2 linked regions of the Mus musculus genome follow. The protein of the gene in region 1 interacts with the protein of each later gene in a biochemical or structural test. Links are inferred from orthologs where the notes say so. Each region holds a gene or a part of one and is shown on either strand. Other genes may lie near its edges.

Evidence for each region.
Region 2: the proteins of Ddx39a (region 1) and Sarnp form a complex in vitro, tested with the Homo sapiens proteins (2 studies listed by BioGRID). The link is inferred for Mus musculus from reciprocal best matches to the Homo sapiens genes DDX39A and SARNP.

Annotation. Positions count from the first base shown.
Region 1 is NC_000074.6:83,720,704-83,723,851, forward strand, and holds the end of Ddx39a (ATP-dependent RNA helicase DDX39A), read left to right. Parts: intron 1-253; coding exon 254-437; intron 438-762; exon of another isoform or gene 763-808; coding exon of another isoform or gene 809-821; intron 822-1,030; coding exon 1,031-1,149; intron 1,150-1,526; coding exon 1,527-1,658; intron 1,659-1,745; coding exon 1,746-1,855; intron 1,856-1,945; coding exon 1,946-2,090; intron 2,091-2,183; coding exon 2,184-2,331; intron 2,332-2,421; coding exon 2,422-2,438; 3' UTR 2,439-2,648; downstream 2,649-3,148. UniProt on the Homo sapiens protein: Helicase that plays an essential role in mRNA export and is involved in multiple steps in RNA metabolism including alternative splicing. Regulates nuclear mRNA export to the cytoplasm through association with ECD.
Region 2 is NC_000076.6:128,820,264-128,824,756, forward strand, and holds the start of Sarnp (SAP domain-containing ribonucleoprotein), read left to right. Parts: upstream 1-1,500; 5' UTR 1,501-1,672; coding exon 1,673-1,708; intron 1,709-4,493. Other genes in the region: Ormdl2 (ORM1-like protein 2), read right to left, coding at 1-171. UniProt on the Homo sapiens protein: Binds both single-stranded and double-stranded DNA with higher affinity for the single-stranded form. Specifically binds to scaffold/matrix attachment region DNA. Also binds single-stranded RNA. Enhances RNA unwinding activity of DDX39A.

The sequences.
Region 1 (3,148 bases):
TGTCAGCTCAAGCAGCATTTCTCAATCTTGAGGTTTATGCTAACTTATGTTCCTTATGAGCCTGATGAATTATGCCCAACCCACAAGGCTTGTGCTGGTCCCACATACCTCAGCCTTGCCCTGTTTTTTCGGCCCCGCCTGGGTTCTGAGGGAGTGGGGCTGGAGTGTCAGGTCCCCTCAGGATGGGTGGGACCTATGCTGTAAGGATCACTGCCCCCAGATGGTGGAAACAGCTTTCTTTCTGTCCCCATAGGTTTCTGTGTTCTTTGGAGGCCTCTCCATTAAGAAGGATGAAGATGTGTTGAAGAAGAACTGTCCTCATGTTGTGGTGGGGACACCAGGCCGGATCCTGGCACTTGTGCGGAGCAGGAGCCTCAACCTGAGGAATGTGAAGCACTTTGTGCTAGATGAATGTGACAAGATGCTGGAACAGCTGGGTGAGCATCCTACTGTCCTGTCCAGCTGGTTTCCCACTCATAGAGTCACAGCCGTTTTCTAGGGGGCCTGATAGGGCAGGCAGAGGTGGCTCTTATAGTGGGTCACATGGGTGGCCAGAACTCAGGGTTTCTAGGAGAAGCCTAAGGGGAATTCTGAGGTTACAGAGTATGTGCTGCTTCTGGACCCTAGGCCCCATGAGCTGCCAGCCCTTTAGGGAATCTAGAGGAGTAGAGTGGCCTCAGCCACCATCAGGGGCTGGGAGAGATGGGCATGTGTCCTGGGAAGCAGCTGCAGCTCTCACGCCAGTGGCTGTCTCTGCCTCAGGCTCCCTTTCCTGAAGCGTGGCTCAAGGCGCACTGGCAGCCGCTCCATGCTGGCAGCGAGTAAGTGGACCGCAGCTCCTCCCATGCTTGCGCTCCCGCCCATCCGAGCCCAGCCCCTCAGGCAGCGGGGACACCCCTGGGCCCACTCCACCACGGCTATGGTGCCAGTGTTGTCCGGTCCAGGTTGGGAAGGGCTGGTTCCTCTCTGCTGTGGGTCTGCTCAGTCAGACAAGACACTCAGGCTTGCGATTTGTTGGCATCCCATCCAGACATGCGCCGGGATGTACAGGAGATCTTTCGTCTGACACCCCACGAGAAGCAGTGTATGATGTTCAGCGCCACCCTGAGCAAGGAGATCCGGCCAGTCTGCAGGAAGTTCATGCAGGATGTGAGTAGGGTGACGCCCCAGCTGGCTGGCTGCCTGCCCACCGTGGCCAACACCTCAGCGCAGCAGCTTTGGCCCTCTCTGATGGGCTGGGCCACTCTGCGACAAGCACACTGCTCTCATGGCCTGGAGGATGCTAGGAGGCTTCGCCGGCCTCCTTCCTTCCCCTGGTTTGTCAAACTGGGAGCTGAGTGGTCCACACCTGAGCCAGAGGCAGAGCTTACATCCGGCTTTTGGGAGAGAATTGTTTACTGAGGTTGGGTGCAACAGGCCCTCTGGGAATCATCAATACAGAGGAGCTGCTCTCTGGAAGGTTCCGGGCACATGAGACGCCCAGAAGTGAGCCCTACTCGCCCCTTCCTGCTTCCCTCCCCACACAGCCTATGGAGGTGTTTGTGGACGACGAGACCAAGCTCACACTGCATGGGCTGCAGCAGTATTACGTCAAGCTCAAGGACAGTGAGAAGAACCGTAAGCTCTTCGACCTCCTCGACGTGCTAGAGTTTAACCAGGTGATGCTTCCTTCCTTCCTTCCTTCCACACCAAGATATGGGCCTGTGGGGTGATTATCTATGCGCCTAAACACCCTTCTTCTTCAGGTGGTGATCTTTGTCAAGTCTGTGCAACGCTGCATGGCCCTGGCCCAGCTCCTAGTGGAGCAGAATTTCCCAGCTATCGCTATTCACCGAGGCATGGCCCAGGAGGAGCGGTGAGTGCATGAGTGAGTGATGTCCACCAGGGCCAAGGCTGCTCACACCTGGGACTCGGGTTTAATGCCTCTGCTTGTCTCCCGCTCTAGCCTGTCCCGATACCAGCAGTTCAAGGACTTCCAGCGACGAATCCTGGTGGCTACTAATCTGTTTGGCAGAGGTATGGACATTGAGCGAGTCAACATTGTCTTCAACTATGACATGCCAGAGGACTCAGACACCTACCTTCACCGAGTGAGCGCCTCCTCCCAGTGTGGGCGGGCTCAGGACCTCCCCCACCCTTCTCAGATCCTCAGGAGTGACTGTCTCCTGACCATCTCTCTGCAGGTGGCTCGTGCTGGTCGCTTTGGTACCAAGGGCCTGGCAGTCACTTTTGTATCGGATGAAAATGATGCCAAAATCCTTAATGATGTTCAGGACCGGTTTGAAGTGAATGTAGCTGAGCTTCCAGAGGAAATAGATATCTCCACATACAGTGAGTACCTGGAGCCACTCAGGGCAGGAGCGGGGCTTCAGGAGCAAAGGCCCTCTATCCTCACTCACTGTGTCTTTCTTGTCTTTACAGTTGAGCAGAGCCGGTAACCGTATGTGTAGCCAGGGCAACATGGCCACTCTCTTTCCCACCTGCTGCTTCAGAACCTCTTTCTAGGTGACAAATCGATGTCTCTTTTTATTGTTCCAAAGCTTTAGTGATGTAAGAATAAACTTTTATTGTGAATGCATGGCTCCAGCCCCATCCCTTTCGGTCAACATCTCATGGGGTTGGGTCAAGCCAGCAAACTTCTCACCAGCAAACGTGCCATCTTTTTTATCAATATGATATTTAATTTTGTGTGTCAACATTGAAAGGTTTACAGGTTAAAAAAATTACAAAACCTAGTCTTTAGCTGTGAGACCTTCTGCCCTGGATGTGGAGCAGCGAGGCCTCTGTACCGTGAGCCTCAGCAGCAGGCGGGCTTCAGTGGCTGACGTGGCATCCACAGTCTTAGCTTAAGGAAACTGAACCCAGCACCCTGGCAAAGAGCCCAGGTCTCAAGGGCTCTTCCCTTTGTCCTAGGACTGCCTGCCTCGTGTACCAGGCAGTGGGCTGCAGGTCTGGGCTGGCTGCATTCTGTTTCTCTGGTAGGCAGTAGCTGTGGTGAGGCAGAGACAACCAGAAGCAGGACCAGCGACCCCTTGCCCCGTGGCAGGGCTCATTGCTGGGTTTGCATCCCTTCTTTATATGAAGTGGGGTCAAAGGCCGAAAGGTGGCAGGAACAGAAGGCAGAATGACAGCCGTGAGTATGTGCTGC
Region 2 (4,493 bases), on another chromosome or scaffold:
GTTATGGATGACGTTGGTCAGGGTCCAGACAACAGGAATGCTGAAGAAAGGGATGCTGAGGAGAACCACATGCAGCAGTCCTACCAAGATGATGTAGGCCAGCCAGATGCCCCGACTGTTCATCACTCGAGTGTTGGGGTTTACTTCGCTGTGTGCCACCCCCACATTCATCCTACCACAGTGAGGGATCAGGCAGGAGTCCAACTCAGTCTCCTCATTAGCCCTGATTGAGCTTGTTCCCCAGCTGTCTCCTGAAAAGCCAAAATCCCCTGAAGTCTTGGGAATGAAAGAATTTCCCTACCATGCAAAAAAAGGAAAAACTGAACACTTTGTTAAAACTTGAGAAGAGGTGAAGCAGCTGGGTGTGGTGGCTCATGCTTGTAATCCCTGAATTTAGGAGGTTGAGGCATGAGAACTGTTTGACCTTTCTCCAAAACAAACAAAAAGGCAAGAGGGTCTTCGAAATGACTAAGGTGGAAAAGGTATTTGTCACCATGCCTAAAGACCTGAGTTGGATCCCCAGGACCCATGCAGTGGAAGGTGATAACCAACTCCGGAAAGCTGTCTTTTGACTTCCGTACCTTCAGTTGTTAGTGTGTATACTCACACAAGTGGGGTTTTTACTCAGATCTTTACATTTCAACTAAATATAAAGCAGTAAGTTTAGACTGTGAGACCTATTTGAAGGATCGGAGGAATCGGGAGTATTTTAATTTACTTTCTTGAGGAAGTTAGTGAATTATAAAGAGGTCACACATACCCAGAGTTCCACAAGAAAGCTATTCAGTTAATCAAGGGACCAATAAAGAAGGCACTGAGAGTAAAGCTACCTCTAGTTCCCATCCTTTTTTCCTGGGGCTTGTCCATCCTGTCTCTCACCCGCTTGGCATTGTCAGCAGCCAAGCAATTTCATCCCTTCACTGAACGTGGGGCGCTGCAAAAACTTACCCAATTTTTAAATTAGTCTAGGAAGGGGTCTGAGCTCAGTCCCTCAAGAAATGGGAGTCCTTCCCTTCTAGGAGCGGTTTTAGTTTTTAAACTTCTGCAAGCTCTAATGCCTACTTTTGTTTTTTGTTTTGTTTGTTTTAACCCGCTCTTGCCTGTCCCACAATTCCCCAAATCAATTACAGAGTCCGCCCATGCTCCTCCCAGAGTCCCAGTTTCGCATGTCACTTTCTTCACGGGATCTCTCGAATCTAAGGTTGTCGTTTCGCCGCCCTTCCCAATACTCCCACCGATTTCTCTCTGTAACTTTTTAAAGTTTCACGGGGCCCATACCTGCCAGCTTCAGGAGCCCGTCCGGCTTGGGGCACAGCGCTGGCTCTTACACCTGTGGTCTCCAGGAAGTGGCCGACTTTCGCCCTGTCTGCGCTCTCCCTATTGGCGGAACAGAATCCGCGCTGTCCCCAATCATTGGTTGGTTACGCAATGGAGACGTACAATTGGTCGCCTTTTCTCTCGTTAGGCCATGCAAACCCCGCCCTCCCCTGGATCCACCTTTTTAGAGAGCCGTGGAAAGTGGCCAAGAGGCGTGAGAGCGCCGCCGCCGCTGACTAATGGGAAGAGCCGTTGGTGTGAGGTGGGAGCAAGAGAAACAGCGATTGGTTGGATGAGCCTAAGCGCCTGAGGTGGGGGCCAGCGGTGGGGGTCCGGTGGACTGAGGCGCATCAAGATGGCGGCCGAGACGGTGGAGCTCCACAAGCTGAAGGTACCGTTACGCGGGGAAGGCTGAGGTGGGGTTTCCTGGAGCCTAAATTCTACGCGGGGCCCTGCGCGGCCTTATTCCACGTGTTTTCCTGTCAGGCGCCCGCTTACACTTCTTTCCTGGCTCCCGTTGTTGTTTTGTGCCTCCTTTCTTAGGCCTACCTTGAACTTCGTTTCTCCTCAGTAATTTATCGCTATCGTTACCTGGTGTTTACCTGCTGTTACCTGTTCTTCTCATTGTTTTTATTACCTGCCACCCTTCCCTGCTCGGCTGTGAAGCGCCTTCTATCTTTTATACCCCTTTCTCATTTAATCTTCATTACGTCAGTGGTCCTTCCCCCGTGTCCCATGCTGACCCAAAGTTATGGTTTGTTTGTCCGTCCCCCCCGCCCCCCAACGGATTGATGTAGTCACTCCTCTTGTCCCAAAGCTGGAATTCCTCAGTTAACATATAGTGGCATTTTTGCATGTTTTGCTGAATATGTCCCAAACATAACCCAGAAAGTGCTTCCGTTCTCTTTTAACAAGGTGGGGTTAAGACCCCGCACTCGAATTTTTAAAATCAAGGAGAGGAGAGGCCTTAAGATAGGTTTCTCGGTGGAAACCTGGGGTAGAGGCTTCTCCAAAAGGTTGTAAGATGGCAAACACATCAATCCTAAAAGTTTTTCGAGTTTTCTCAGGAGGTTCTCAATGACCTGCCCTCCCTCCCCTGACTATCCTACCTCTAGAGAGAGAACGTGTAGGGTAGATAGCTGTAATATGAGAGGTGTATGAAGTATGTTTGAAAACCTTAGGATTTTGTTTGTCCTTTTAACCTTTGGGAAGGATCCCAGCTCTCTTGATGTCACCCCCAACTCCCTTTTTGGGTCTATTTTTGTTATTTCCGTGTGTCTGTGTGAGTATATGATGGATGCATGCTCTTGGAGGTTAGAAGAGGGTGTTGGATCCCCTGGAGCTGGAGTTACAGGCAGTTTTGAGCAGCCTGATGTGGGTGCTGAGAGTAGAATAATTTGGGTCCTGAAGAGCAGTAAATGCTCTTCACAACTGAGACATCTTTTCAGGATGCCTTGGTGTCACTTCTTGATAACATTCTTGAACCACAGGATCTATTGAGTTGTACATTTTGGTAACCCGAGGTTCTTTTCTTGTATGTAGACTTGCCCTTCAATTATTATTCTGTAAGGACAGTAATTCCTTTTATGAAGAATTAAGAAACTGTGTTGAGGCTGGAGAGATGGCTCAGCGGTTGAGAGCCCTGACTGCTCTTCCAGATGTCCTGAGTTCAATTCCCAGCAACCACGTGGTGGCTCACAACCATCTGTAATGGGATTTGGTGCCCTCTTCTGGTGTGTCTGAAGATAAATACAGTGTACTCATATACATAAAATAAATAAATAAAATTTAAAAAAAGAAACTATGTTGATTATTGTTTGTGTTTCAGAAGAAGCTTTACCGTTAGTTGTTTTGGTCACCTTATTCTGGGAATCTCATACAAATCAAATTTAATACAAACTGAGAACTGTTCTTACTGAGACATGATCTCACTCTGTAGCTCTAGCTGGCATGAAACTCACAGAGATCCTACCTTTATGTCTCCCAGGTGTCAGGATTAGAGACATTAACTGTCATGCCCAGTTTTTTGTTGTTGTTTTGGGTTTTTTTTGTTTTTTTTTTGTTTTTTTTTTTTAATAGTTGTTTTTAATTATTGGATTGTGATGATTTTTAAAAAAATATTTATTTATTTTATGTGTCAGGTATTTTGTATGTATGGATGTCTGTGTACCTGCACAATTACAGATAGTTTTTAGTCTCAATGTATGTGCTGGAAATTGAACCTGGGTCCTCTGAAGGAACAGTCTGTGGTCTTAACTGTTGAGCCATTTCTCCATCCATGAAAACTCTTCCTTCCTTCTTTCTTTTCTTAAAAGTTAATAATTGGGTCTGGAGAAATGGCTTAGTGGTTAGGAACACTCTTTCTTCCAGAGAACCTCAGTTTGGTTTCCAGCACCAAAATCATGTGGCTCACAACTACCTGACTACACCAGCTTCAGGGGATCGGATTTTCTCCTCAGTGTCTTCAGGCACCTGTTTCCTGTGTCACGCTCGCGCGCGCGCGCACACACACACACACACACACACACACAGAGAAAACTTTTTTAATCTTGAAAAAAAAAACTTAAAAATTGCTGCGTTTTTGTCTTTAAAACTTGTAAATGAAGGTGCTTAGAAAAAGCCCTTATAATTTAGTCTGTTAAGGTGACTTTATTGTTTGAAAGCAAATGTGTTTCTTAACTGTTGGACTCTCAAATTTCATTATTAGATTTTTATGTTATTCTAATTACTGTTAACTTGATGTAGCTATAATGGATTATGTTTTCTAATGATTACTTGAACAAATAAGGAAGAATTGAGCAACTACCTCCATTTTTTAGTCTACGTAAGTTATGTAGTTCTGTACTGTTACACATGCTATAAAACATACACAGAAAATTAATTTTTAGGTGAAAGAGATTAAAAATTAGTGGGCTATTGGGTATTCTCTTGTTTGTTCCCCTTTTGAAGTCCTGGTGTAAGTCACCAGTTGTCCCATGACTTTCCTTTATGGATATTGTATGTGTTTATGGAGTTCCTCCTTCCACCATATGAGTATTTGTTAGTTAATAAGCTTGCATTTGATTGAGTACCTCACTTATCTAATGTTTTCTGACCTGATTTCAGGTATATAGTCTTAAGAGAACACAAGGCAGTCCTGAGGGTGTAAGCAGGACTTACTCTTTAATCACATTTGC